3 linked regions of the Notamacropus eugenii genome follow. The protein of the gene in region 1 purifies or fractionates together with the protein of each later gene. This does not show direct contact. Links are inferred from orthologs where the notes say so. Each region holds a gene or a part of one and is shown on either strand. Other genes may lie near its edges.

Evidence for each region.
Region 2: the proteins of TUBB (region 1) and ARL2 purify together in Homo sapiens (co-immunoprecipitation; 3 studies listed by BioGRID and IntAct, counting the BioPlex papers as one, with this or other methods). This does not show direct contact. The link is inferred for Notamacropus eugenii from reciprocal best matches to the Homo sapiens genes TUBB and ARL2.
Region 3: the proteins of TUBB (region 1) and RICTOR purify together in Homo sapiens (affinity purification with mass spectrometry; 3 studies listed by BioGRID and IntAct, with this or other methods). This does not show direct contact. The link is inferred for Notamacropus eugenii from reciprocal best matches to the Homo sapiens genes TUBB and RICTOR.

Annotation. Positions count from the first base shown.
Region 1 is NC_092873.1:84,574,385-84,583,750, reverse strand, and holds the start of TUBB (tubulin beta chain), read right to left. Parts: upstream 3,873-9,366; 5' UTR 3,455-3,872; coding exon 3,398-3,454; intron 1,846-3,397; coding exon 1,737-1,845; intron 1,452-1,736; coding exon 1,341-1,451; intron 619-1,340; coding exon 1-618. UniProt on the Homo sapiens protein: Tubulin is the major constituent of microtubules, a cylinder consisting of laterally associated linear protofilaments composed of alpha- and beta-tubulin heterodimers.
Region 2 is NC_092873.1:17,759,470-17,770,015, reverse strand, and holds ARL2 (ADP-ribosylation factor-like protein 2), read right to left. Parts: upstream 4,599-10,546; 5' UTR 4,568-4,598; coding exon 4,503-4,567; intron 3,827-4,502; coding exon 3,716-3,826; intron 3,635-3,715; coding exon 3,472-3,634; intron 2,767-3,471; coding exon 2,686-2,766; intron 2,606-2,685; coding exon 2,471-2,605; 3' UTR 2,075-2,470; downstream 1-2,074. Other genes in the region: SNX15 (sorting nexin-15), read right to left, coding at 154-189, 1,225-1,494. UniProt on the Homo sapiens protein: Small GTP-binding protein which cycles between an inactive GDP-bound and an active GTP-bound form, and the rate of cycling is regulated by guanine nucleotide exchange factors (GEF) and GTPase-activating proteins (GAP).
Region 3 is NC_092875.1:421,422,515-421,433,037, forward strand, and holds the start of RICTOR (rapamycin-insensitive companion of mTOR), read left to right. Parts: upstream 1-5,979; 5' UTR 5,980-6,271; coding exon 6,272-6,320; intron 6,321-6,501; coding exon 6,502-6,549; intron 6,550-6,644; exon of another isoform or gene 6,645-10,523. UniProt on the Homo sapiens protein: Component of the mechanistic target of rapamycin complex 2 (mTORC2), which transduces signals from growth factors to pathways involved in proliferation, cytoskeletal organization, lipogenesis and anabolic output.

The sequences.
Region 1 (9,366 bases):
TGTTCTTGGCATCAAAGACTTGCTGGGTGAGCTCAGGCACAGTTAGGGCACGGTACTGCTGGCTTCCACGACTGGTGAGGGGGGCAAAGCCAGGCATGAAGAAGTGGAGTCGAGGGAAGGGGACCATGTTTACAGCCAACTTGCGGAGATCAGCATTGAGCTGGCCAGGAAAGCGAAGGCAGGTGGTGACACCACTCATGGTAGCAGAGACTAGATGGTTAAGGTCACCATAGGTTGGTGTGGTCAGCTTGAGGGTTCGGAAGCAGATATCATAGAGTGCTTCATTATCAATGCAGTAGGTTTCATCTGTGTTTTCTACTAACTGGTGGACAGAGAGTGTGGCATTGTAGGGCTCAACTACGGTATCTGAGACTTTGGGTGATGGAACCACACTAAAGGTATTCATGATTCGGTCAGGGTACTCTTCTCGGATCTTGCTGATGAGTAGGGTGCCCATCCCTGAGCCTGTGCCTCCACCAAGTGAGTGGGTCAGCTGGAAGCCTTGCAGGCAATCGCAGCTCTCTGCCTCCTTTCGTACCACATCCAAGACTGAATCCACTAGCTCTGCCCCCTCGGTATAGTGGCCTTTGGCCCAATTGTTGCCTGCCCCGGATTGGCCTGGAATTGGGGGTGGGAAGCAGGGTAGATGAGGAAGGGATGCTGTGATATCCCACACTACCACCAACCCTTTCCCCTATCACCTAAGATTTTTTATCCACCTATACCTTAGAACAGAGGTGTCAGACATGCCCAGATTAAAATATAATTGAGAAATATTTAAATAAAAATTGAAATATAGTAACACAGATAACATTAATGTGTGCTTTTCTAACCAAATATGCAGCCAGCAAGGATCCTTAATTTAGTGGTCCCTCTTTCTAAGTTTGACATTACTGCCTTAGAGATCCTCTTAGCTAATGTTCAACCCCTCAATCATTCCCCTTATTTTGCCTCCATCCAGGTCACCCCTACTTTTCTAGAACTCTTCTGGCCACAACCTACATTGAACCTGTATCCCAGTTTTGAAGTTTCTAATTCCTTTCCCCCATCATTCTGCACTGATAAGATCCCCCTAAAGACTCCTCAATTATCTGAAAACACCAGTATGTTAATTTGCTTCTGTTTTAAATTTACTTCCACAAGATCCTAACCTATCCAGGGGATTCAAACCCCTTCTTAATGAAGAACCTTCAAATTCAAGAGTGATGATTATTTGGGAATTTACCTGGGGTAACTGCCAGTAATGAAATATTCTCTTCCCCACCCACTTTCCCAGTGGCAAAGCTACCACCTCTCTACCCTTTTTCATTACATTATTTAAGAAATTCACTTCAACTCACCAAAAACAAAGTTGTCTGGCCTGAATATCTGGCCAAAAGGTCCAGAACGAACAGAGTCCATGGTTCCAGGCTCAAGATCAACCAGTATGGCCCGGGGAACATATTTGCCACCTGTAGGAGAAAGTGCAGAGTAGGTGTAGGCTGGAGAAAGAAAGGGAGGGCTCCGGGGGTCCCTTAATACGTGGCCCTCCCGCTTCCATTCTAGTTTTTACCACCAGGTGGCAGTCGAGAACTAGTCTGCGATTACCCGTGGAAGAAAGGGGGGTGTGTGCGTAAAGGCGAAGAGGAAGATGACCAGAGCCTCTGGAAAGTGGAGAAAGAGTCTCCCAAGGGTAAATGGTTCCCCCCTATTTCAGAAGGCAGAATCGAGGGGAGAGTTCCCTTCCTGCCCCTCACCGGTGGCCTCATTGTAGTAGACAGAGATCCGGTCCAACTGCAGGTCGCTGTCCCCATGGTAGGTGCCAGTGGGATCGATGCCATGTTCATCACTTATCACCTCCCAGAACTAGGCAGACAGACGAGTAAAAAGTTGAGAAGAAAAATCGATTAAAAATTCTCCTCCCCCACTTTCATGATAGGCTCTCAATTCCAAAACTGCTCAATCCAGGAGTCATTTTTTTCCCCTAAAAAACCCAGGGGATTTCCTCCCCCTCCCTTCCTGGAACAGATGGGATGCACAGGAAGCTTGTTACAGGATTATCCTGCCCTATAAATGCACGAGATAATAGGACTGAAGGAGGCCGACTCATTCCAGGTAATCCAGGAGGACGGTTGAGGCCAGATGCCTGGGTCTCTGGCTAGGAAAGATAAAGGTCACTGTCGCCCTCCCCTTCTTCCCCCATCAGGCAACGCCCCTCCGATGCGCACAAAGAAAAAGGCACTGCAGCTGCTACCCACCCATCCCGCAGAACTCACTATAGAGCGAGGCTGTGGGAGGTGCGAGAAAGGAAAGGGGGAAAATGATGGACAATGGGAGCCAAGGGTGGGGCTCCTTTCCTCTATCCAGCATGGCCCTGGAGCGCAAGGGAGTTCTTGCCCCGCCCCAACCGGGCTCCGCCCTTTTGCCACAACGTTGCAAACTCTCCTTCCCACTTCCTTTCAACCCCCATCCGTTACACAGTATCTTCGAACTGGGGGGCAGGGAGAAGGATCACTTTTACCCTAAAATGTTGTTTCTTTGCTACAGTTTCCATTTTTTTTCTCATTATGTATTGGATTCGCTTTCCTTGTCACCCATTTTTTAACTCTTTGTCCTTGTGGAACTATCCACAAGGAACACTAGACAACGCGCGGGAACTCGCACCCTACCCCACCCCACCCCCGCTCCCGCCCTTAAAGGGAGGGCTTTCAGAAAGGGAAGGGGGAAAAGTCCCCTCACCCTTCCACCTCACAAAGGAGAACGAGAGAAATTAGGAAAATTCCACGTTTCATATATTTTTTGGGGGGGAGGGTGGACTACGAGTCCCCCCCAAACCCCACCTTCCTATTTCATCCCCTTTTTCTCCAGCTCAGTGCACAATGCAGCTCCTCACCTTTCCCTTAGGATTCGGGCAAGAGTCACAGTTTTGGGCGGGGAGAGACAGAGAGAGGCAGAGATGCACATGGGACAGCACTGGCCTCGCTTTGTCTCGCGCGTTTCCGTTCATCCATCTCCGACACAAAAGTCTCTTAGAGATCCCTTTTACACCTTCCCTCAACCCCAGCCCCAAAACCACAAGGGGAAAGAGACACACCTTCCAGTTAATCCATTAAAATCTTAAATAATTTTATTGGTCCCTTCTTAACGGATAGAAAGGACCAGGTTGCGACACGCCAACAAAACTAAACCAGGTAAGAGAATAAGGGGAGAAAAGCTACAGATTTCTCTAATGAAAATTCCCGCCGCAAAGAAATGCTTAGATTATTTATTTGTTGGGTCGTGCTGCTTTGGGCAGGGAGCGGGAGCTAGCGACAGTCCCGCCACTACTTTTTTTTTTTAGGAAATCTTTTAAATTTTCTTTCCTTTAAAAAAAAAAATCAATGGAGGTGAAAAGAATATGTAAAATCAAAATCCTTACCTTTGCACCGATCTGATTGCCACACTGGCCAGCCTGGATATGTACGATTTCCCTCATGGTTGGAATTTACTTTTGCTTTGTCTCAAGTTATGTGCAGGGAGGAGAGAATGATATATAAATATATATATTTTCTCCTTTCCGCTGAACAAGCTCTTTTTCAATAGAAGGTTCCCCGGAAGGTTGGAGCTGCTAGTTCAGAACACAGCTACACAAGCGTTCTGAGAGGGAGAAAGAAGGAAGGGGGGAGGGGAAGCGAGGGAGGAGAAGCAGGGCGGGTCGCGCTTGCGCTGCGTGGCCTGAGGGGAGGGAACCATGAAGAGGTAGGCGCCAGCTATATCGTGGACAAAGCCTGTCTAAAGAAGAACTGATTGGTCCATACCAGGCAAGTGTCTGGTACCCATTGGCCGCTCCTCCGGGGATCAAGCGCTATCTTCACCGGGAAATGTAGTTCTCTATTGTTGTCCACGCTGCAAAATGAAGAAGGGAGGAGTGGGGTGGGTGTGGGATATTTTTTTTATGAATAAAAAAAAAATTAGGCATGGCATTCCACTGTTTTGAGGTCTTTTTTTTTTTTTCAATTAGACATTAGAGGAGACTAGGATTTAGGTCTGTAGTAAGTGGAAAGTCTAGGGAAGCGAGGTAGTGATGTGATTTCAGGATTGGTATGTCCTGGGACTTCCTGCTGCAGCATTCCTACCACTGGCCTGCTAAATTCAAAGAAATGTAGGGAGAACCAAGTATGAGCTTGGGATAGACAGTTACAGGACTCACTGATCTTTCCAGGACTCAGGTGTCTAGCCTCTGATACCCCGAAGTTCCAGTTCTTTCTTGCGATCTTCAACCCCATCCTTATTTGCCTCACTGATCTACATCACCCACACATCTCAGCAATCCACCTCTTTTTCCTCTCAGGGGATAGTCACAATGGATGGAGTAGTGGTTTTTGCTCAGTGGGTGATTTCCTTGGGCGTTTTTGGATAAGGGTATTTTAAATACCCAAAGAGAAAATTACGCTAGAGACATTTCAGGACACAGATGCATCTGTCAAAAAAAAAAATGACTGGAAGGGACATGTATAATGAATTTGTGAAAGAAAACCTGACTCTTGGGAAGTCAGATACCTGGGTCCCTGAGGTGTATTCCTATGAATAGAACTGCGGTAATTGATCCAGGGAAGTCTAAGCTGAGATAAGGAGAGAAAATGGCTGAGGGGTTCAATAACTCATACATTTTCATGGCACTTTTATCTTGCCTCCCCAAATGTAGGACCCTTAAAAAGTATCAATGAATTTATAGGAGGTAGCTGTTTCCACACCCCATTCAAATCAATGTCCCTAGTATGGTGGATGTCATAGCAACATGGTCACCATGGTAACCCTTCCTAGGCACCTGAGCTGGAGATGAGGACCATTAGAAGGAAGAAAGATTGGGCTTGGGGACAGAGGGAGAAGAAATGAGTTTAGTTCAAATTCAGACATTTCTCATAGGGTCACTTTTCCATGGAACATAGAGGCATGGAGAGATATAATACTGTTTTAGAGTGATGTTATAAAATAACTAGGATTTATAAAATACTACAGGGTTTTCATAGCAATATATGTATAATATATACATATATGTCATCCCATTTGATTCTCACAGCAACCTTGTGTGGTAGGTGCTATATTTATTCTCATTTTACAGATAGTAGAAGTTAAAATGACTTAGGGTTCAAATTCAGATCTTCCTACCTCTGAGTCCAGCACTCTATCCGTTATCCATAGTCCTAGTAGGAGAAAGTTATATCATGTTATCAGTGGTGAGATTTGTCCAAGGAGCAAGTGATGTAATCATTTCCTTATTGAAAATTAGGTGAACTGGGACTTCTGGTTACATATAGGACTGCTTCATATAATATTCTATATAATATATACATACATATATAATATATTATTACATATGATGTATAATACTATATATAGTATTCACATAATATTTTATTTTTGAATAATAACACAAAGAACAGTAAGTCATATATATACATATGTGTGTATGCATGTATTTACATATACATATATTATTTTGAAGGTAGGTATTTCAGGTTTTATGCCCATTTAGAGAACTGGGATTGGACCTGTGGTTTCTTTTGTACAGTGAATTTCTTCCACTAGTAAAAATCTATACTTCTCTGCAACTTGTAGTTTTAAGAGAATTACCTAGGGCACTGAGAAGTTGTCAGGCCTGCACAACCAGCCCTGGGAGCTAACGACCCTCAGACTGATTATAGCATGCCAAAGGATTTGGGGGAAAGGGGGGGGGGGAACCTACAAAAAAATGTACAGGAAAACATCCTTTGTATGTAGAAGAAATCCTTGCCACAAGTTGTTCAGGCCTGAGTTAAGTGGCTTTATAATAGTCTGTAAGATCTGCATTCCCTATTCTATTTTAAAAGATGTTTTATTATGTTTTGTTTTTTTACACTTTATCACTTCCCAATAATCCTTCTTAGTATAATATTCCATTACATTTGTATGCCACAATTTGTTCAGCAACTCTCCAGTCAATAAATTACTTTTAAAATTACAAGCATTTTTTTCTGTTGTTTCTATTCCCACTGAATAGGGAATATTCTGAAAAAAGAAAAAAATATTCTGAAAAAAAGAAAAAAAATCCTTGTAACAAATATGAATAGTAAAATAAATTCCTACATTGGCAATGTTTTAATATGTATGTCTTATTCTGCATATTTGGTCCATTCCGAGTAACATTCTTCACCAACAGTCTTTTAGAATCATAATTGGTCATTGTGTTGGTCAGAATTCTTATGTATTTCCAATGTGTTTATTTTTACACTGTTGTTATGGTACAAATTGTTCTTCTTGTTCATTTAAGATCAGCTGATAAAAGTCTCCAGAACTGTCCATTTTATCATTTCTTACAGCAGAATAGTATTCCATTATATTTGCATACCAAAATTAGTTTAGCCATTCCCCTAGTAGATAGTTCCCCCTTACTTTCCAATTTTTTGTTACCTCAGAAAGATCTGTTACAAATGTTTTTCCCATTAACCCATTTTCATATGGGTTCTTTCCCTCTCTCTTCATAGTAAGTTGTATGGCTGGGTCAAATCATGTGCACAATTTAGTAACTTTTGGGGGGCATACTTCCAAATTGCTTTTCAGAGTGGCTGGACCAATTAAAAAACTCCACAAACAATGCATATATCTGTTTTCCCTGAGCTCCTACAACATTTACCGTTTTCCTTTTTTGTCACCTTTGATGATCTGATGATTTGGAACATTTTTAAAATATGGCTATTGATAACTTGTATTTTTTCCTGTGAGACTTCCTTGTTCATATCCTTTGTCATTTGGGGAATGACTAATTCTTCCAATCAATTTCTTATATATCCAGAAAATGAGACAATTATTAGAGAAACTTACTGCAAAACTTAACTATCTCTCTGTTAAGCTTAGCTACATTGATTGTGTTTGTGCAAAACTTTTAATTTTACATAGTCAAAATTGTCCATTTTATCTTATGTAATCCTTTGGTCACAGACTTTTCCCCTATCCAGATAAGAAAGGTAATTTCTTCCTTTCTCCTTCATTTTATTTATGTGACCTTTTAAATCTAAGTCATATAACCATTCGGATCTTATCTTGGTAAATAATGTGAGGTGTTGGTCTAAATCAGACTACTTTCCAGTTTTACTAGCAGTTTTTGTCAAACAGTGAATCTCTTCCTCAATAGTTGGGGTCATTTGACGTAATCACCCTGGTGAAGTCCTTCCTCACTTCAGATCTAGACTATTTCTATAGCCTGCTGGTTGGTCTCCCTGCCTTTCCCCACTCCACTCCATCCTTCATTCAGCAGTCAAATTGATATTCCTAAAGGGCAGATTTGACCATTTCATCTCCCTATTCAATAAACTCCACTGGCTCCCTAATACCCAAGATCAGATATAAAATCTGTTTGGCTTTTAAAGCCCTTTGTAATTTGGTTTTTTCTACCTTTCTTGTTTTCTCACGCCTTATTCCTCTACACATACTTGGCAGTCCTGTGACATTGGCCTCCTTGCTGTTGTTCCGAGACAATCCATCTCCTGACTCTAGGCATTTTCATTGCCTGTTTCCCAAGCCTAGAATGCTCTCCCTCCTTACAGCCACCTCATAGTTTCCGTAGCTTCTTTCAAATTTCAGTTAAAATCCCACCTTCTGCAATAACTCTTTCCCAAACCTCCATTCTCTTTGTGCCTTCCCTTTAAGGTTATGCCCAATTTATCATATATATATATATATATATCATTATATATTATTATATTATAGTATAGTATACATTATAGTATATATTTAATAATATATTATATTATATATTATAATATATTATATATATATCATGTTTATACACAATTATTTGCATGTTATTTCCTTCCCCCCCCCACCATTAATATGTGAGCTTCTTGAGAGCAGGGCCCAGTTTTGTTTGTCTGTGGACTTTTTTGGATCCCTAGGGCTTAGCACAATTCCTGACATATAATAGACACATAATTAACAAATACTAGTTGATGGGAAAAAAAAAACTTTATAGCAAGTTTCTTTGATAAAGGCCTCACTTCTCAAATATGTAATGAACTAAATCAAATTTATATATTAAAAAAGAGCTATTCCCTAACTGATATGGTCAAAGAATATGAACAGGCAGTTTTCAGAAGAAGAAATCAAAGCTATCAATAGTCACATTAAAAATTCTCTAAAGCCTTATTGATTAGAGAAATGCATATTAAAACAACTCTGAGATACCACCTCATACCTGTCAGATTGGCTAACATGACAAAAAGAAAAATGACAAATGCTAAAGGGGATGTGGAAAAAAATGGGACTATTGATGATACTGTTGATGAACAATAATGAATTGTTGATGGTATTGAAAACTAGTCCAACCATTCTGGAAAACAATTTGGAACTACATCCAAAGTTCTATAAAAGTGTGTGTACCCTTTGACCCACCAATACCACTACTAGATCTATATTGGAAAGACATGAAAGGGAAAGGGACCTGTTTGTATATAAATATTTGTAGGAGCTCTTTTTGTGGTGGCAAAGGTAACCGAAAATTACCACACCAGTAAGTTGTGGTATATGATTGTAATGGACTAATATTGTGCAATGAGAAATCTTGAAGGGGATGGTTTCACAAAAACGTGGAAGACTTATATGAACTGATACAAAATGAAGTGAGCAGAACTAGGAGAGCATAATACACAGTAACAGTAATATTGTAAGGATGAGCAATTGTGAAAGACAGCTATTCTGATCAAGACAATGAGCCAAGACAATTCCAAAGGACCCAGATGAAAAAATGCTATCCATCTCCAGAGAGAGAGAACTAATTACCTCTGAATGCATATTGAAGCATCCTTTAAAAAAAAAGACTTTATTTTTAATGTTTTGCTTTCTTTTGTAACATGGCTATTATGGAAATATCAAATTGCTTGCCTTCTAAAGAATGGGGGAGGGGTGGGAGGAAGGGAAGGAATTTAGAAGTCAAAATTTTTTTAAATGACTGTTAAAAAAATTTTTTTACATATAATTGGGAAATATTTAACAAAACACAAATAATTGTTAAAAATAAACAAATGCCAGTTGACTGATGAGTTTATGGAACATTAAGGCTACTATATTGTTTGCTTTTGTATGTTGTTTACCTAATCTGTTTCATGTTTTTTTACTTTTTTTTTGGAAGGGGGAAGGCAAGGCAATTGGGGTTAAGTGACTTGCCCAAGGTCACAGGGTAAGGGCATGAGGTCGAATTTGAACTCAGTCCTCCTGACTCCAGGTTCGGTACTCTTCATAGCGATATTCACCTAGCTACCCTTTTCTGTTTTATCTTTTAACCAGTACTAAGTCAACTTGATGATGATTATTTTTGTAATAAAGCTTGAGATCTGGTACCCCTCCCTTCTCACTTTTTCCTTATTTCCCTCAAGA
Region 2 (10,546 bases), about 67 Mb from region 1:
CCACCGTCTGGCTCCCTCCTTTTGCACTCAGGGAAACTGAGGCCCAGAGGGGACTGGACTGGATCCGGGCAGTTGGCCGTTCCACCCCCCGCCCCACCCTGGGCTGCCTGCAGGAGACAAGGGTACCCGCCCCCCACCCACCCCAACAGTCACCTCCTTGACATCCTCTTGGTTCGTCTTGGAGATGAACTGAGGAAGAAGAAAGCCAGGGCCAGTGAGGGGCTAACCCGCTTGGCCCCCCAGCCCTGCCCCAGGCTCAGCCCCCCAAGACCCCCCCACATCAGAGGACAAGGCCACCCTTGCCTCCACAATAACTGGGGAGAAGAGGCCATTTGGTGGGGGAGGGGAGTGGATCCTAGATGGAGGAAGACCTGAATTCTAATCCAGTCTGAGGTGCCAACTGGGTGACCCTGGGCAGATCATCTGACCTCCACTGCAAATGGGGATGACAGCATTCCTCCCCCCCAAATGGGAAAACGTGTAGGTCGCGGAGGGCCCCCAGACTCAGATCCTCTTGGGCAAGGGAGCAGCAGCCTCCCAGGGAGGGGGTGGGGCTCGGCGATCGCCCCCAGGGCACTGAGCGGGACAGGTGCGTGGGGCCCCGGGGGCCCTAGCACAGGAGGTTTTGGGGAGAAAACCCCCCAGCCGACGCCATTAATGACTTAGTGAGCGGAGGAGAAGCCGGCCAGGAAGCGGCGCTGCTCAAGTCCTACTAAGCGCCGGGGACGCTAAGCGGGGCTCGGACCTCCGGGGGTGCTTTCACCGCCTGCGACCTCGGCTGCCTCAGCCACCCTGGGAGGGGGTGCCCGCCTCACAGAGGAGGAAGCTGAGGCTTCCCCAACGCGCCCCGCCCTCCCCAGCCGCCCCCGGTGTGTTCCGGGCCGCAACGGGGGTCATTTCGCGAAGGGAGGCAGCAGCTCCCAGCTCTTTATTAACCTGTTTGCGCAAGGTGGAGGTAACCCCAGCCAAACAACTCTGCAGCTAGGCCCCGCCCATGCTGGCCCCGCCCATGCTGGCCCCGCCCCTTGCGTCTCCGTTAAAGGAACCCAGATTAGTCTTCCCTCCCTCCCCCGTAAATTAGTATAGTCCTAAATTCGCTCAGGGGCTCCACCCCTGCCTGACTCTCGAGGATGGAACGGTCCGGCCCCGCCTACTTAAAGGGGCTTCTTCTTCTTCTTCTTCTTCTTCTCCTCCTCCTCTTAAAGGGGCTTTGCGGTCACTCACCTGCGCCGTCACTTTGTACTCCGTGTAGCCCTTGGGATGGGTCCGCGTGTCCGACACTGTGTACAGCCGCCGGTAGTCGTCCTTAGCCTTGAGGGACATCCTCGAGGAGCCGGAGTCCGCAGGACTCCGGCGCCTCGGCCTGGCCACGGGCCTCCTCTTCCACGCTGTCCCCTCCCCTCCCCTCCCGTCCAGCCTCCGACGGGCACCGCCTCTTCTGCGCCTGCGCAAGGCTCTCCTTGGCCTCTCTTCCTGACTCCTATGCCCCTCCATGGTGCACGCAGGGACGGTCCTAAAACTCTTTGTTCTTTGGAAAGGCGTAGAATGAGCTACTCCGTAGGAAAGGCCGCCCCCTGGCGCCTGGGGAAGGCCATCGGTGCCCTGGACTCCAGGCAACAGGCATTCATTAAGCACCTACTGCATATCAGGCCCTGAGATAGACTTCAGGGAAAACCCAGCCCACTCCCACGTGGGGAAACTGAGGCCCCGGACGGCGGAAGACGTCAGGCTGGCACTGATGAGTCCCCTGGTGGGGCCGCTGAGGCCCTCACCCCCCTCCAAGCCCACTCCCCCAACACTTCAAGGGCCACTGAGAACCAGATCACTTTAGGCCACTGGTTTACTGCGAGCTGGGCCAAGGCCAGGGGCCTGGAGGGTGGCGGGGCAGGCCCAGCTTCTTCCAGGTCCTCATCCACACCAGACAGTTCTAGAGCTGCCTTCTGGACTTGGCCTTTCCTGCCCTCCCTCAACTGCTGGCAGAGTGGGCCACCCTTCTCTTTGGGAGCATGGGGAGGGAGTGTGGAAGCTCCCTTGACAGCAGAGGAGCCTGGGAGGAAGAAGAGCAGCCAGGAGCGAGGGGCACAGAGGACTTTATTCCCACAGCTGATCGGAGGAAGGGGCCCTCCCGGAGTCTCCCCCAATCCACAGACAGAGAGCTGCAGGAGGGACAGAAATAGGGAATGGGGGCCACTCCTCCCCAGGGAGGAAGGCTCTCCAACAGAGCAGCAGGGTCTCTCCTGTTAAATAGCACAAGCAGCATCTGGTTATGACAGGGAGGAGGCATTAGTTGGGGTCCCTTGGGCTTCCGTTCCTCCCCCCCCCAGTCCTGGCTCCCTGGGGGGCCCTGGATCAGAGAGAAGCAGGACAGAGGGATGGTTTGTGGGAGCTGGAGATGTGTGGAGGGGCTGCCCTTCAGCTGGGTCGAGGGGTCAGTCCAGGAACCGGTGACCCAGGGCAAGGAGGGGAGGGGTCATTCTGAAGTGAAGATTCGGCTGGAGATGTCATCCAGGAGCCAGTCAACCCCCAAAAGCAGGTTTTCCCCCGTCACTGCACTGCAGCCCTGGATGCACCAGTGGTGACTGCGGATGGCATTTAACTCCAGGATCTGAAGGAGGGAGAGTGACTCTCAGACAGCAGCCCTCCCAACCCTCCATCCCATCCAGCCACCTGGAGGCCTCAACTCACCTCTCGAATGTCATTAGATGAGAGAGCCCCAGGGAGGTCCTGCTTGTTGGCAAAGATCAGGAGAGTGGCTCCAGCCAGGCGCTAAGAGGGAAAGAAAGGTGGTGGTAGGGCCAGGAAGGAACCTGGGAGCTCTGAGCTAGCCAGCCTATGAGCCACTGTGAGCACCACTCCCAGGGCAGCATTAGGGAAAGGGACGTGAATGGGGTTGTGGGCGCTTGTCAGTGAGATACGATGACAAGAAAAGTCCACAGGAAACAGCTGCCTGGTCTTTGAGCAAAGAGCTGGACTGGGCATCTCGCCCAGTCTTGGGCTGCCTGGCATCCCAGTCCCCACCTACTTCTCCAGCTTTGTCATGTGACTCCCTGCACCCCCCCCCCCCCAATTCATTCTCTTCCATTTCTGGCCATCTGCCCTCCTCACTCCATAACCTCATCTTACAACGCTTACTTCCTGTTCTGCCTCTGCACTTGTCTTACCCTCCACTAGACCAGTCCTCTCTGAGGACTTTCTCATATCTTTGCTAATCTCTGCTGCCTAGCGCAGTATCTGGTAAACAGCAGGAAACGAATGTATGCTGATTCAAGTTAATGTGGACCTGTGATCTTTTTTTCAACCAAGCAAGCATTTATTAAGCCCCTACAATGAGCTAGGCATTCTGTCATGTGGTGGAGATCCAAAGACAGGAGCTCCTTCTTCCCTGTGCCTCAGTGTCCCTTTCTGGTAAGTGAGAAGGCAGGGCCTTCCTCCTCAGACTCCTCCCACTTGACAGCCCCCAGGCTGGCGCACCTCTTCCACGAGGAGGCTCTCCAGCTCCCGGCGGCAGTCCTCCATGCGCTGCTGGTCAGCACTGTCCACCACCCAGATGAGGCCGTCTGTGCTCTCAAAGTAGTTGCGCCAGTAGGAGCGGAGGGACTTCTGGCCTCCCACGTCCCAGATGTTCAGCTTGAACCTGAGGAGGAAGGGAGAGAGGGTGGATGGGCGCGGCCGGCCCGCGCTGTGCGCCCAGCTCCTGGGGAGGGGCGTCCCTCACCCTCGGTGCTCCAGGGTCTTGATGTTGAAGCCCAGGGTGGGCGAGATGGTGTCGATGTCCTCCCCGTTGAACTTCTTTAGGATGGTGGTCTTGCCTGCGTTGTCCAGACCGCTGGGGCGGCAGTTAAGGAGCCTCGGAGGCAGGACCTCCCAAGGGAGGGAAGTGACTTGCCCAAGGTCACCTCGATCCTTCCACAAACTAGGTGCGCACCTACTGTGTGCCTGGCACTAGGGGCACCAAGATGAACAGTAAGAAACCCGCTCGGGCCCTGCCCTCGAAGAACTAGCCTAGCACAAAGTGAAGCTCCCTATGAGAGGGAAGGCAACATGCATTCATGAGGCTCCTACTGTGTGCCTGGGACACACAAGGAGGCAACGAGCTGGACTTGTGCTCCGGGGACTCCCGAGATCCAGTCTGCTAGGGTCTAGCCCAAATCCCGGACCCTCCATCTCCCGCCTCCCCGCCAGTGCACGCGAGCTCCCTTCCATGCCCCCGGGGTAGTTGGCCCATTCCACTTTTCTAGCCGCACCCCCCTCTGCGTGGGGGCAGTCCCTACAGCCTGCACTCCCCCGTTTTTGTCCCGGATGGTACGGACCAACTCCCAACCCACCGCCTCCTAGGGCTATTGGTCGATCCCGGCTTACGTAACCCGCGCAGGGTAGTTGGTACGATCCTGCCCAGAGCGGCGCGTCCTCCCTCCCCCCACCCCGGGGGAGCGCGTGGTAGCGCCCGCCCGCGCCTTTCCCTGGCCCCCGGCCACCCAAGGGTTCGGGGAGCTCGAGGATACAGCATGAGGAGCCGCAACTCCCGCTCCTTCTGCTTCATCTTCTTCAGGATGGTCAGGAGCCCCATGGTCCCAGCCTCCCCTCCCCGCCGCTGCGCCTTCCTAGTCCGGGACCCCGCTCCCCCCTCTCATTGGCTAGAGCGCGCCTCACCGGAACCCGATTGGCTCGGCCCTTGTTTGAGCCCGCCCCTTCTCGCCGGAGCCGGCGGCAGGAGAAGGCACCGCCCTGCTGGGCGGGGGCGGGGCTACGGGGGCGGCTGGGCCCAAACTGGCCCGCCCCCGCCGCTTAACCCCTGGTGTGCCGGCCCGGGACGGGAGGGCGCCGCGAAGAGGTGCATCCCGATTCACATCGCACCCCTCTACTTGTGGAAGGGGGCTGGACACAGAGCTGGGTTCAAGGGCAGGCCCTCCCCTGAGCGGGGTCAGCCTAGTCCTCGAGGTCCGGCGGATGGGCTTCCCTCCCACCTCTACCCCTGGATCTTGGGAGAAGGAAATGAACAAAGACTTCACTTCCCATGAGGCGCCGGGAGAGTCTTTGGACTCCATTTCCCAGAAGGCCGTGTCGGGTCAAGCCCTCCTTATTTAGTGCCCGCGGTTTGCGGAGAACTAAAGCAGCGGGCATACCTAAGGCCCGGCAGGTGCCTGCCCTGGAGGCGCTTACCATCTGATGCGGAGACCACGTGCCCGCTGGTGCCTACAAAGCAGGCTGGAGGCAGGGTAGATGGGGAGGCGCTCACGGAGGGAGGCGCTGGGGAGGGTCCCCTGTAGAAAGTGGGGTTTCAGCTGGGGCTAGCAGGAAGTCGGGGGGCAGGGGTCGGCCGGGGAGGCTGCCCAGAGCCAGGAGAGGCCGGGGTCCCTGACTGCGGAGGGAGGAAGGTGTAGAGACAGAGGGGGGTAGCCCTCTGCACCCCGGGCCCCCCACTACCAGTGCTGGGCGGGACAGCCCCGCCCCCCGCGCAGCTGCCCCTGCATCCATTTGAAGACTCTCCTGCAGGGTTCCCCCAGCCCCCCTGCTTTGGGTCTGGTCTAGAGCCTGGGAGGGTTTTGGGCAGTAAAGGCCAGAGCTTGATAACCCTTTGTTATAACCTTTAGATTGTTATAGTTTGGATTAAGAAGAGCCTGGACCTAGTGGTCCTTTGTTTAACCTAGAGGACACCTTTTGGGGACCCCCTTACCAAACCCTGCTGGCATCTTAGCGATAAGGAAAAACCCAGATCTCTTGGGCTGTAACTTGGGCTCTGCCAGCTCCAAAGGCCTGTCCAGGTCAGGGTGTCTGTCCGCAGGGCGGTGGGACTTTCTCCTCCTCTGATGTCGGAGGCACGCTGCAGAAAGAACATGCCCACGGCTCGGGAGCTGCTCTGTCCATCCCCTTATCAGATGGACGACGTGTGCATCCAAGAGAGCGCCTTCCTCGTGGCAAAATGTACTTAAGACAGGCAGTTTCTGTGCTGGGTCAGTTCTGGTCCTGGCTCCATAGCGCCATGACCCTCATCTTTAAGAGAGGATGAATTAAATAATAACGCGTGCTTACTAGCCCGATGTCTTTTATTTAACGCAGTTTTCAGGTTAACAATGGTCAGTATACTCGATGTGCGTTGGCAGGAAGGAGGAGCAACGGAGGGTGATTCAAGGGCTTGATTTCCTTATTTACACTGATTTTTTAAAAGTCATCAAAGAGACTATTTTTGTGGCTGTTTTATTGTCTGACTAAAGAGTGTCAGGCTTGTGGGGGCTCAGATCCTGATTTGCATCATGCAGAGGAGCTCCAGTTTTCTCTCAGTGAAGGAAATTCTGATTTTTATAATAATCAATAGGATATGTGTAACGATTGTACTAATAAATTAGATTTTGCAGAATTGCCTTTTCCAGACTTACAGCGCAGCTTGAACTGATCAGTCAGACCTTGACAAGGTCCACAATCACTGGCCTCCTGCCTTCGAACCTGAAGTGCATCTTATCAAAACCTGTAGAAACTGTTCCTGTCACAGAACTCTGGTCCTGTGACCCACTAAGTAATGACCCACAAGGACCTGAGCAGTATTGCTTCCACAGGACTCCAGAATTGTTGTATTGTCTTTTGTTTGTGGGTTTGTCATGGGAAACCACTCCGACCCTGGGAACGGTTGTTTGTAATCCACCTTCCCTGTCCTTCCCTTCCCATTTGTGACTTATGTATATAATCTCTGTCCTCTCTTCAGTAAGGCAAAATTCTGATCAGAGGAATTCCCAATTTGCAAAGCTGCTCCTCATGATGAAACTAATTAAACTGATTGCTGGCACTTTGTCTCTGGCCCGCTAGACAGAAAAACTTGAATTAACCATGACCTCACATGGATGGTAGTCTCTGCATACAGACCGAACCCACTGGAACCTTCTTTTTCTTTTCTAATAGTTTGGTTTTTTCCCCCAGTTGTGTATGAAAAGAGTTTTTAACGTTCTTTTTTAAAATTGTGAGTTCTAAATTCTCTCCTTCCCATCTCACTTCCCCAAGAATTGTAAGTAATTTGATAAAGGTTATATGTGTGCAGTCATGTAAAACATTTTCATGTTTGGCATGTAAAAAAAAAAAGGCTAAACAGACACACAGACGCCGAAAAAAATACCGTGGTTCAATCTGCATTTAGATTGCATCAGTTCTTTCTCTGAAGGTAGATGGCATTTTTCATCACCAGTTTTGCTGAGAATAGCTCAGTCATTCACTGCTGTTGCGTATGACATTGTCCCAGTTCTGCTTACTTCACTTTGCATCAGTTAATTCAAGTTTCTCTCAAGGTTTCTCTCAAGCCATCCCCCTCATCATCTCTTATAGCATATTAGCATTCCATCACAATCATATACTGTAACTTCTTCAACCATTCCCCAATTGATGGGCATACCCTTTGACCCAGCAATAGCATTACTAGGTCTTTATCCCAAAGAGATTTTTTAAAAGGGGAAAGGACTTTTATGTACAAAAATATTTATACTAGTTTGCCAGGCCTAGAGGCCTAAGGGCTACCCGAGTCTTACCTTACCTATCGCAGGTCTTCGGCTGGCCAAACCGGATAAACGTATGAGAGAAGAGACTTTCCAGAGTCGAACAAGGGTTAGGCTTTATTCAGGGTCTTGGTTACATGTGCAGGGGGAATTCTTCCTGAGGAGAGAGGAATCCTCTTCCGAAGGAGGCAAAGATCTTACAGTAAGAGAATGGAAGCAGGAGTGGAAGAGGGAAGAGGGAAGAGGGGAGAGGGACCTTCTGTCCTCTAAGGACCCCTCAGCACTAAGAGCACCTTCAGGCTTTTCTGACCCTACTTAAGCTCTCCTGCCGCATAGTTTGCACCTGAGTACTGTGCCTGTTAGACAACAATAGGTGTGCTCAGACCATGGATTAATCTCGAGGGTGGGGATGCTCTTCTCCAGCAAGTTTCCTACGGGGAAGAGGCGGAAATGCACGAGATAGCCCGGGTTTCACACCTCAATTCCCAGCTGTTCCCTGGGGGGCCTCATGAGAACTCTAAGGTTTGGAAGTCCTCACCTTTACCTGCCCGAGACTGTCCACATGGAACTGAGCTTACACCCCCAACACTAGTTCTTTTGGTTGTGGCAAAGAATTGGAAACGGAGGGGATGTCCCAAAGTTTCCATATCCCCTCCAATATTTGTTATTTTCCTTTTCTGTCATACTCATCAATCTGATAGGTGCGTACCTCACAGTTGTTTCAATTAATGTTTCTCTAATCAATAGTATTTTAGAGGGTGGCAAAGTGAATACAGCACCACCCTCAGTCAGGCAGGACTGCTAACTTTGGAGACAGCAACTGAAACTCCATCTTTTACCGGAAGCCTTTCCCAACCCCTCTTAATTTCAATATCTTGCTTCTGTTTCTGATTTCCTTTTTATCCTGTCTGTAGCTTACTTAAATCAATTTATTTGCCTGTTGTGAGCTCCTGGAGGGCAGGGATTGTCTTTTTTTCCCTTTCTGTATGCCCAGCATATAGCACAGTGTCTGGTACCTAGTAGGTGCTTAATAAATGTTGATTGATTTCCATTTATGGATGAGGTCAGAAGCCAGACATGAGACTTAAGAAATGAGAGATAGAAGAAGAGGCACTTATTGTATGAGTTTAGTCACAAAAGGGAGGAGAGATCTGGAATATCTGGAACAATATCTGACTGGAACAGATGGATGGATCGAGAGAAGATGTTTTGAGGATGAGGGAGACAAGGCATGTTCGTAGGCGACAGGGAAGAGGCATACACAGAGTAATTGAAGATGGGTGAGAGAGTGAGACTTAATAGGGGTGGCAAACTTCTGGAGGATGGAATGGGATCCTGTGCATTTAGAGGGGTTTGCCTTTGCAGGAGAAGGGCCATGTCATTGGGTGCAACAGGGGTGAAGGAGCAAACTATGTAAGGTTCAGAATTCCCCAGACTGGGGAACCCTGGACCTTCCCCATAACCATGGGGTATTCTTGATATCAAAGGAAGAGGCCAAGAAGCTCCAGATTGATTATAGGCAGTAGTTCAATCTATCATTGTGACTACTTATAAAACAGGGGCAATCTTCAGTCTAAGGTGGTAGCCAGGCAGTTCAGTCGATGCCCACCAGAGAACCCCCAAAGTCCCCATGGTAATTATAGAAAATAGACAAAGGGAGGAGAAGCTACAGAGAGCATCACAACTGATGGGTTTTGGGTTTTTGCTTAGTAACGAGCTTGGGAGTTAAGCCAATGTCATGCCCAAGTATAAATGTTTGTGTATTGATCATGTACCAGTCACGTATGGGTCACGATATTCTTGTTACATAAGGCTTTCATAGGACGTAGTATTTTAAGTTGTGACTCAGTGTCTGAATTACAAATCAGTATCTAAATTATGATTTTAAACCAGTCGCCATTTTCGGGCTTTCCACCTTTTTGTGGCTTTTCATTTATTAATGTATTTTATGGCTTTTCCCCAGTCAGGACTCCACAATCCATGTCTGAAAAGCTGCCCATTCTTTCTGAATATCTTCCACAAGGTCCCTGGGCTGGCTCTATACTAGGGTGTTTATGGCCTTTTATGGTACAGCCAGGGTGGTCCCATTTGTAAGAATAAGCCGTACAAACAACATAAGCACAGATAGGAAAACAGCATGACCAATGAGAAGATGATCACCGTGGTTAACAATTTCACCTGGCGAGGTGAAGGAAGAACCAAAGGCGTTGGGGGATGAGTGGGAGAGCTGAATTTCTAAACTGAATGTAGTACAGGCTAACTGAGTTTCTGAACAAAGTTCAGAGACAAATAAACATGGCTTGGGCAATTTTATAGCATTTTGGGGGTGACAGAATAGAGTCAGTTACAAAAGGAGATAAGAACAATTTGATTTTCTCAATTTCCCCCTTTCTGTCAAGGGGAGACGTACAATGATGATCATCAAACCATCCCCAACATCCATTTAATTAGCAGATTTCATCTTGGAATCCAGATATCCCATGGAGTTGTCAGTTCTCTGGAGCAGCTTTTCTTGGGGCCATCTAGAAAATGTCTTGTCCTCAGGGGCATCTCTTCAGTATTATTTTTCTGGTTCCAAGTTACTTATAGAGACCCTTTAGATGTCCCTGCTAAAATCTTTTACAAAACAGATCTCAACACAAATGTAGTACAGCCTCTCCAATTTTCCTTCTCCAATAACCAGTTCATATTGTAAAAACCAGCTCAAACCTTAGAGTTCTTATCTTAGCAATAAAGCTGTAAGGGGGAACATCAAAGTAGAAACCCAGAGTTTGCTTGAAGCTTCAGAAATTTAGATTTTTACATGCCCCATATTTGATATACAGTAGTATCTGATCTTGTTACTTTCTCAAAAGTTTCTACTCTGATTCCAGTTCCTTTAGGAGATCAGGTGCTATTGAGGATTCATTTCTATACATGAAAATATGAGTAACAAGACTTGTAGGTAGTGATAATGTTTAATATAAATTTTAGACTTTAATAAGGGCCAAAGTTTGAATTAAGAAGAGTCTGGACCTAATAGTCTCCTTTGTTTAGAGGATGCCTTTTGATGTCAAGCAAATGGGACTCCC
Region 3 (10,523 bases), on another chromosome or scaffold:
TAATTCAAAATCAAACGTATAATGAATCCAAGGTGTTTCTGGCAGCACTTGCCCATGTTGCATCTTGCAACATCCCTACAGCCTTGGTTTTGGACACACAACATGTGCACTTTATATTGTGCATGCAATGCCAAGGAATGCTATCAGAAACACCTTAACTCATATTGGATACTATTATATGTTATGAAATACAGTGTTTTTACTGTACATACAAAGTCTTTAAATGAATTTTGGCTTGGGAGTAGGACAGACTTTCCAACAATTTCTGAAATGGCCCTAACCATACTTCTGCCATTTTGTACTATGTATTTATGCAAAGCAGTGTGCTCAGAATTGATGATTATAAAATCAAAATATCAATCAACTCTGAAAAATTCTGAAGATGTTTCATGTCCTTCAGTATCAAATACTCCACTAAGATTTAATTTTTTATGTAAAATTAAATAAGCACATGCATCTCCTTAGTAGGCAAATCTGCTTTCATCTTTAATAAATGGTAAAATTACATGTAAACCAAAGAATTGTTTTAAAATAAATTTCTTTATGATTTCTGATCAGTAAATGCTTGATTTGTATAACTATTTTATGTATCTGTATACCCAGGTCACAAAAATTTCTCAGCAAAAAAGGGTGGTGAGTGGAAAAAGTTTAAGAAGCCCTGCCTTAGATAATACCTCAGGCTTGGGTAAGACTAAAGGGCCTCTAGAGCCCTGGAACTTAAATTTACTGGGCCTCAAAGGCCTGGTCATCAATTGCTTTATCAACCTGAAGTTTCAGTAGCCACACCTAAACGCCCCTCCTGAGAATGGTGAATTGGTCTCTGACCACCTAGCATGGCAGTGTTGGGTTGAGACTTCTCCCTCAAATCTTAGAGTATCTTTTTGCATGGACAAAAATATTTGCCCAAGTCACATCTATCCAGAGCTCCTGCTTAGATTTCAATAATTGATCAACCCACACCTGTATGGTTGCGTGGTGGAGGAGAACCTAGCTAAAGTCAGAAACTATTTGGGCAGAGCTCTACACAGAACGCTTGGGCTTAGGGGAATGCATAAATCCAATTTATTAAATCCATTTCATTTAGGAATATCACCAACTCCCTTGTAGATCCCCAACTGTGAGCTGGCTGCCATCTTTATAAGGCCAGGTGTGAATAATCTTATCAGCCATCTAAAAAGAAACAATATATTTCTTTTAAAAGCAAATGTAGTTCACGCTTTAAAATAAGAGTTCAGAGAATTATCTGAGGCTATGGAAAGTCCACAGCAGAGAGGCTCTTGATGTAGGTTCCATTAGAACACACCTAGGGACTCCTCAAGTTTCTGTTTGAAAATCCCCAGAAAGCAACTGAACCCTCTCCCACTGAACAGGGACCCATCTCCTGAGCCTTCAAGATAGGAAGTCACTATCCTCCTCCTAAGAGTTGTTAAATTCTTTCAGTTGTGTCCAAATGTTTGTGATTCCATTTAGGGTATTCCTTGGCAAAATTACTGGAGTGGTTTGCCATTTTTTTCTCCAGCTAATTTTACAAATGAAGAAAATGAGGCAAACAGCGTCATCACACAACTAGTAAGTGTCTGAGGTAGAATTTGAATACAGGTCCACCTGACTCCAAGGTTGGTGCTCTATAAGCTGCACTACCTGCCTGCCCTCCTATGAGTAGTGACAAGATAAGCCTGAACCTTCCTTACCCTGGGTGGGAGTGCCCCAGCCTCTGCCCCAAGTCTGCTCTCCTCTAGTCCCATGGCTCCAATCAGCAGGAACCTGAACCTTTAGATCAGAGATCATAGGGTTGATTCTTTGCAGGAAACCCTCAGTACCCCTTGAGAGAGATCTCTTCACATGTGCAGTCACTAGTTGTATTAGCTGTCTCTTGACTTTCATTGCATGGTCCCTGAAAGCTGAGAGTTCTGTTTTTAGCTGCTGCTGAATGTACCAGGCCATTTTACTCTATTTGACTGCACTCACAATCCAACTTACTTAGAGCAGTCAACAACATCCAGGGAGTGCTGGTCTTGACATTTTCTTTACCCTGTCAGCAGCCTTCTCCAGTATCCAATAATCTAATTCCTCTACCCACAGAGAGGACTCTCCATAGACAATCAGGAGAGCTCTGTCAAGAGGGAGTCAGGGAATGTCCTGCCATCTGATCACGTGACCCTCCTCCTCCACATTTCAGGGTTCTTCCCCCAACTCAAACACTATTTGAGCCATGAAGCCTTTTCATCTAATCCTGATCTGCCAAAACTACATTAAATGTATGAGTCACTCCACTCTTAGTCCAGGTTTGATAAAAGGAAGCATGGACAAGTCACTGGACATTTAACAAGAGGTTTACTTTGCCCTAAAATAGCAAGAAAATGCAGTAAGGATAGGGGTTTTTATGCCCTTAAAAAGCTGCATTATGGAAGGGGAGGTAAGAGAAGAGATATTAGACCCCAGAATTAGCTTGGTCCTAGCTCTATCTTATGTTGGCTATAAGGGGAAGGGGAGTGGAAGGCAAGGAAGCTGCATCAGGTAAACTGGAGTCAAAGGAATTTACTTCAGAAAAATGCTTGTCCCATCACAGTATGGATATACATATGTGTGCATAATATATTTAAACCTCTTACTACTTGCCAAGCCCTATACTTACACTGGAGAAACAAAAATAAAAAAAAAAAATTACAGTTCATGTCCTTGAGAAACTTACACTCTATAATAAGAGGGAAGGGGGAAAAAGAAGGCAAGGATGAACATGAAAGATGAACCTATGTCTTTGGGCTCAGTTTCTGAACCCTCATGGCCTTGGCAATTAGTTTCTCCGCTGCATAGCTAACACTGAGGGCTGAGTGCCTTCCTCTAGTACTGTTGCTTATGAACCTCTATCTGGTGTGTTTTATCCAATATCAGTAGCTAATTAACACCCTCATTATCATTAACTGGTGTTACAAGGGATATTTTCAAAGAATATAGGTCAAGGACCTAAGCACAACCCAAAATGGGAGTACACTCTTCACTATTACTCCAGTTCTAAACCTAAAAGTGATTGTTACAAAATATTCCTTCCATCAAATTTACTGGACACAGATGGCTCAGGAGAAGTAAGGTTGTGAGTAAGTGAGGTTGGTGACCTTGCACAGCCCTCCCTCCCTCAAATCAAAGTCAACTACAAGTCATGTCATCATCCTGATGTCACTGTCCTCCTCAAGAACAAACTATAAACACAACAACAACAACTTCTAGGTATGGTGTAGCAGAAGGATGACTTGCTTCCTAGCTTGAAGGATGTGGTGTCTCTCATGCCAGATTGATTAATTCATTGGGTTAAGCTGGTACCTCTTCAGAGTTGGCTCCTCACAGATTAGGTACTCCAACAGCAAGACTGTAACCAACTTGATGGTTCTGATTTTAAAAGCTCACAAGGTCATACCTTTTTCCACTCTATCTTTGATATTCAGTCACCTAAAGTTAGGAAAAAAGAAATATGGCTAAGACAGAAGAAACAGCAACATGTGTTCACAGCCAAATCAGGGAGTGAGGCTGCTATCCTAACCAGAAGCCCACAGCAATTCCAGCTTCTCAGTGGCCACCTGGGAAGAGAGTGAGAACTGGTCTGTTCCTTGCTTTCATATGCACTCTCAATTCCAGCTCAGTAGCCAATTAAAGCCTTTTTACCATCATGCATAAGAAGACAGGAAAAAGAAAATATCAGGGACTGCTCTAAAGCCAATCAATTACTCAACTAGCATTTATTAAGTATCTACTATGTGTAAGGTACTGGGCTAAGTGCTGGGGGTAAAGTTAAAGAGAAAGGTTAAAGATAGTCCCTGCTTTCAATGAGACATTGTGTTAAGAACTCTGTCCAAACCAGTGATATACAAAACAAATTGAGATAATTTTTAGAGGGAAAGACTCAATATTAAGGATTGAGAAAAGCTCCTCTAAGAAGGTGGGACTTTAGCTCAGATTTGAAAGAACTAGGAACGCCAAAAGGCAGCAATGAGGAGTGAGAGAGCTCCAGGTAGGGAGCAAAGGAAGCAGAGAAAGGGTTTAGATATGCAGGAGAACCAGAAGAAAGCAGTGTCACAAAAACCTGGAAAGAAGACAGCATTAAGTGGAAGGTGAGAGACAGTGTCAAAGGTTGCAGAGAGGTCAAGAAGAATGAGGTTTGAGAAAAAGGCCATTACATTTGACAACTAAGAGATCACTAGTAACTTTGGAGACAGGAATTTCAGTTGAATGAACTAAAACTGCACTCTCACTTGAATGGTGAAGTCAGAATCCAGACTACAAAGAGTTAAAAGAAAAAAGGACTGGGAGTCACCTGCAGTAGACAGTTTGCCTACTCAAGGAGTTTAGCTACAAAAAGGAGAGACACAGGATAATAGCTAGTGAGGATGGATGCATCAAGTGACAGTTTTTTGAGGATGGGGGAGATGGGGTACAGATGTGAGCAGAGAGAAAAAAGGTTCCTTTATTATGCATTCCCTCTCTCCTCACCTCTGCCTCCTGCCTTCCTTCAAGTCGCAGTTAAAATCCCAGGAAGCCTTTCACAATCCTTCTTAATTCCAGTGACTTATCTCTGTTGATTATCCAATTATTTTATGATTTATATTCCAATTATTTCCAATTGATTTCTGTATATATACATACACAAATCCACAGAGAGAGAGAGAGAGAGAGAGAGAGAGAGAGAGAGAGAGAGAGAGAGAGAGAGAGAGAGAGAGGAGAGAGAGATGACTTGGGAGGTTGTTTGCATGTTGTCTTCCCCCATAATACTGCGAGCACCTCAAGAGTAAGGAACTGTCTTGGGCCTTTCTTTGTATCTCCCCGGCTTAGCACCATGCCTGGCACATAGCTGGTACTTTAAACTGCTCAGCGATTGATTTCGGCTCACTAAGCTTCCATAGAGGCAGAGCCTACGTTCTAAAGACTAGGCCTTCATTGTACAATTCTCCTAATACATGAGTAAACAGAAAATATATACAAAGTAACCACAATCTAATTTCAGTAGAGTTGCGAGGACTGAGGAGGGGAAGTATGGGCAGACTTTCCAGCTCCCTCCTCTACCTCCCTCTGCTACTGCAGCAGGTAGAGTTCTAGGAATACTTACTACTAATTAAATTAAATACTTATTATGCAAATCCTGGAACTGATACAGCATTGTAAGCAGGGGATGTTTTTGGATGTCCACCTTTCCGATACACCATATTAAGTCTTACATCCCCTTGGACGCTGGCCATTATGGTATCGCCAACATTAGGCTCATCTCAAGGGAAATAATATTAAGACCAGAGAATTAAAAAAAAAAAAAAACAACCTAAAACTGCAGTTCTTTCTCCCAATTCTCCACGGCTGCATAAAAAGTCTGGACAAGCTTTATATTCCTGACATTCTCAGCTAAAAGTCTTCTTCCCGGCATGACATCTAGCCAACAAGCCTCCAAGTTACGGGATCCGGGCAAACAACACGAATTACGTGTCCACCACTTAGAGGGGACGAACAAGCCGCGGAGGGCATCGTGGGCACGAAGGTTACCTAATGGAGTCCTCGTCTTCGCCGGTCCTCCGCAGTGCCACGCGGGGTTGCCCTCGAGGGTCACGCACGTCCCAACGTCTCACTGCGCTCACTACACGAGGGGCTCCAGCTCGGCAGGTGAACCCCGCTTTCCGCTAGGCCCCCCCCGCCCCCCATGAAGCCAATTTTCTTCGGCAGAATCTCAAGTTAGTGGAAAAAACGAGGGGGGGGGGGAGGAGAGTGTTTTACAGGAGGGTGGGCGTGGCGTGAAGGAAGCGAGGAAATTCTTCGCGGACAAATACAAAGCACGGGGCAGCTTAGGCACAACACGCGGGCACGGGTGGGCGGCCTCGCCCCGCGCCACGAAGCGGCCGGCCGGGGCCCACCCCGCGAGCCTCCCGGGGGAATTCCCCTTCGGAACTCGGAGCGGAGGTGGGGGAGGGGTCCTCGCGGGGCACCCCGCGGCCACGCGCTCGTCTGCAGGGGAGGGGGCTGGGGGGCGTCTTGCTAAGGCCAGCCTCGCCGCCTCCGCCGCAGGCACGCGCGCCCGCCAGCCCCGGGCTTCCCGCTCTGGGCCCCGCGCCCCGCCCCCGCCCCGGCCTGGCTCGCGATAAGAAAGGGAAGAGGGGGAGGAGCGAGGATGCGGAGGCTAGGCCAGGCGAGCGCAGGGCGGGGAGGGGAGGAGGAAAGGAAGCGGAGGGCGGGGGAGAGGGGAAGGGGGCTCTCGCGCGATTGGGCGAGGTTTCCGGTGTTGTGACTGAAGCCCGTCAACATGGCGGCGAGTGTCCGCGGCCGCTCGCTGAAGCACCTCAGGATACGAGGTAACCCCTCCGCTAGCCCTCTCCCCTCCGCTCCGGGCGCCCCCCCTCTCGGGGCCGCCTCCCCCCCTCCCACCCCCCGGGCTCGCGGGGCGGGCGTGGGGCCTGCGCCCGGGGCTCCGGCTGTGGCCGGGGCCGCCGCCGGCCTGCGAGTCCTAACTGGGTCTCTCTGTGTTTCGCGCAGGGCGGAATGACAGCGGCGAGGAGAACGTCCCGCTGGATCTCACCCGAGGTAACTAGCGGCGGGCGGCGGCTGGGGCGGGCCCGCGCGGCCCCTGGGCTTGGGCCCGGGGGGGGGGGGGGGGGGAGGGGCGAGGTGCTGGGTCCGAACCGCGGGCCCTGGGACTGCCCTGCGGGAACCATCCCCCTTCTCTCCCTCGTCCCGGCTTCCCCGCCTGCCCCTGCCCCGGGTGGGCGGCAGCGAGCGGGGGAGACCAGCTCCAGGGCACTCGGAAGGGGGAAAGGATGTACTTTGTCCCGCAGCTCTGCGCCCCTCAATCCTGGGGGCGGCCTGGGGAGGGGGGGGAAGAAGCTGTTATTTAGGTTGCGAGAGGATGTCTCGGGGAAGATCGACCACATCCTGCCGTCTTCCCCCTCCCCACCCCCCGCAGCACGCAGGATCGCTCTTTATTCACCACCTCGGGGGAAACGAGGGATCGATAGGTTTGTGTGCGGCTGCTGCCTGCGAGGTGTCTGGTCCAGCCGCCGGGAGGGTGGCTGGCAGAGCCCGCCCCCTCACCCGCTGCAGGTTCATTGTTTACCGTCGGCTGCAGCCTGGAAGGTTTGTTTACGCCGTCTGAACTGCTGAGAAACCTCAGCTCTATTTTGAAAAGACCTCCCCTTGCCCGACATTCCTTCCATCGGCGGCTGTGTCGGAATGCGTCCCCGCTGCCTAGCGTCGGGCGATCGGGGAGGCGATCTTCTCAGGGTAGCACCAGTTTCACGTAGACTTCTCCTCCAGTGAGGTCTGCTTTGTTTACTGTCGAGAAGCCGGAAAAAACCTTTGAACTTTAAATTCTGCGTAACTCTCTCAAGACACTCGTTTAGTCCCAATTTCAGAATTGAGAAAAATCTAAAGTAGATTCCGTAGAGTTCAGTTATTACAGGTTGCCCATTGAGGCTACTTCTGACTTCACAGGCTAGTAAGTGTAACAGTTTTCAGTATTTTTAGTATTCTTTCAAATCTTGTTAGTTGTGAATGATAGGAAGGTTGAGCTCTTATGTAGCTGTCCAGATACAATAGAACTATCTTATAGGTAATGGTTTATTCTTTGAGTCTAAGGATTTGGATTATTTTCAAATAAAACAATTTTTGAAGTAAAACGATTTAGTCTTTTAAGTGTTAGAAGCAGCAGTTAATTCACCGCCTAAGTGGAAAAATGATACTCTTTAGTAAAATCTTGGACATTATAATTGCTATAAAACTTTTTGTCTTCTGAATGTAAGGAAAGTATATGATGTTTTGAGTTGCAATAACTGGGAAAATACATAATCAAAAAAGTGTTGTTTGTCACTTCCATCTTCAGAGCTTCTCTACCAAAATAAATCTAGTTCCCAGAAAACTGAAACTTAGCATGCTAGTCTTTTATGCATGTAGTTGATTAGTGATTTGATTTATATCTGAGCAGTTTTTTTAAAAGAGATAATTAGGCTAACTCCAAATGGAATTCGTGCTTTTAAATTGGCTTAGTAATTTATCATAGTGGGTTAACTGAGATCGTGTATGTATAGTTGATGAACAAATCTTTGGTGTATGGCTAAACTACTGGTGACCTGATAATTGAATGTTCAAATTTGATTTCAGGTAAGCTTGGTTTACTGAGATTTGCCTTCTTATGTAGCAGACCTTGGTTTTTAAACTTCACATATGTTTTTTCCAGCAAGCATTTATTAAATGCCTGTTGTTGTGTCAACTTAGCAAACATTTATTAAGTGCTTAATATATGCCAGGACATGCTAAGAGCTGGAAATGCAAATATAATAAATGAAAAGAAAGTTATCCCCTGTCCTCAAGGAGCTTATATTCTAATGGGAGGAAGACAAAGTATAAGGAAAAGCTGAAAAGTGGGGAGAGGAGGTAAAAGGGAAGGATGTGGGAAATGGAAAGATGGGCCAAAGAGCCAAAATGGGTAGTGAAGCAGTCAGCATCCTGTGGTTTGCACAGTTATTCTGTTTTAGGGATAATTCAAAGTAAGTAGTAGATAGTTTTTGTCTCCTAGAGAACTTTATATAGTCCAGTTATAACAAAATCTAAACATGGGAATAAATGGAAAATAATTTTTAAAAAGCAGTGTATAAGATGTGAGAATATAACATTCTATATTACAGAGGAGTTTTGCTTGAATAGGTCTGTAAGATTTATTGGCACTTTCGTAGTGAAAATATTTTTTAAACTGTAAGTCAGAAAATTACTGGGGTAGAACTGTAATTGTTTCATTGGGCAAAGAGGATTTGTGGACCCAATCTGAAGAAAGTTAGGAATTACATTTTAGTAGTGACCCTGAATCCTTTTCTAAGTCAACAGAATAGTAGGGCAGTCTGGGTGGATGAATCAGATGTATGTGAAATGGATTGTCTTGTGTAAAATCAGGTTGGGGTGCCAGCATTTTAAATGCTCTAGTAATTTTGCTGTAATTTCAGTTATTTATGTATTTTACGTGAAATCATTTATTTCTGTAAAATAGAGGCTTTGGTTAATATGATATGTATAAATCTTAGCTCTGTTACATAAAATGAGAATTATGTAAACAAAACTAAAAGAGAGAAGGGGAAGAATCTGAATTATTATATACCTAACATGAAGAAATTACGTTATTAATATGAGATTTTTTTCAAAACCAGTTAGATATGAAAATAAGCTGATAGGTCTATTGTTCTTTAAAGTTTGTAAAGTGATTTACACACATTTCATTTGAATCCCGTAGGATAAGTGCTAACTATAGTTATTATCATCCCCATTTTACAGGTGAGGAAACAGACTTAGAAAGGATAAGTTACTTTACTATGGTCGCACGGCTAGTAAGGGTCTGAGGTAGATTTGAACTCAGCTTTTTCTGATTCTAAGTTCTTTCTTTTCACTATGTGTTAATTGTTCTGTTGTTTCCAACTCTTTGTGACCTCATTTTGGTTTTTCTTGGCAAGAATAGCAGAATGGTGTGACATTTCCTTCTCCAGCTCATTTTACAGATGAAGAAACTGAGGCAAACAGGGTTAAGTTACCTGCCCAGTATCTAGCAAATATCTGAAGCTGGATTTGAACTCAGGAAGATGTCTCCCTGACTCCAGGCCCAGCACTCTATCCACTTCACTACCTAGTTGCCCTTCCACTAGGTGTGCTGTCATATATGGGTATCTGTAATACACCCCTTGAATATGATAGGAAAAAAGTAATTTGTGTACACTAAAGATGCATGTGAAAAGTAATAAGTGAATAGTACTTAGAGGAGAAAGGGATTTTTTTGTTTTGCAGTTCATTCAAATATTGTCTTAACTATTTAAGAGGTCAGAAAACGTCTTTATTTTGTCTACTACTTTCCCCAGTAGCTAGTATAGTGCTTCTGACATAGTAATAATGTTAATTACATAGAGCCAACTTTCACTAAATGTCTGTTGATTGATTGAGTTGAGATCAGTCCAAATTGTAACATTACTTTCTGTTATTTAGGAGGCTGCTTTGCATAGTGGATAGAGGATAGGTTCAAATCCTGCCTCTGACCCATACTGGCTGTTTGACCCTTGGAAATTCACTTAACCTCAGTGCCCTTGACCACTTTCCAAGACTTGAGAAGTTTTTTTCATGGGGAGTTCTTTCTACCATTGAAATCATGCTGTAGCCCCTGTCCTGAACCTCTCCATTGTCAAATCTAGCCATTCAAATTAATTACTTGATTTGTTGACTTCCCAGGTATTTACTATGCACAGCATTAAATTTGTTTATAACTTTGTTAATATCTCCTTTTCCTCTACTTTCCATGAATTGAAACCCATATATCCTAACCACTACTTCTACCTCAGGGACTTTTTCAGGGACAGACTTTAGTGTAGGGGTCCATGAACTTTTTTTTTTTTTTGCAAAAGGTCTTAACCTGGGATCCGTAAACTTGAAATATTTTTTTATAGCTATTTCAATATAACTAGTTTCCTTTGTGATTTCAAACTTTTCATCTTTTTAAAACTTTATTATGAGAAGGGGTCCATAATTTTCAC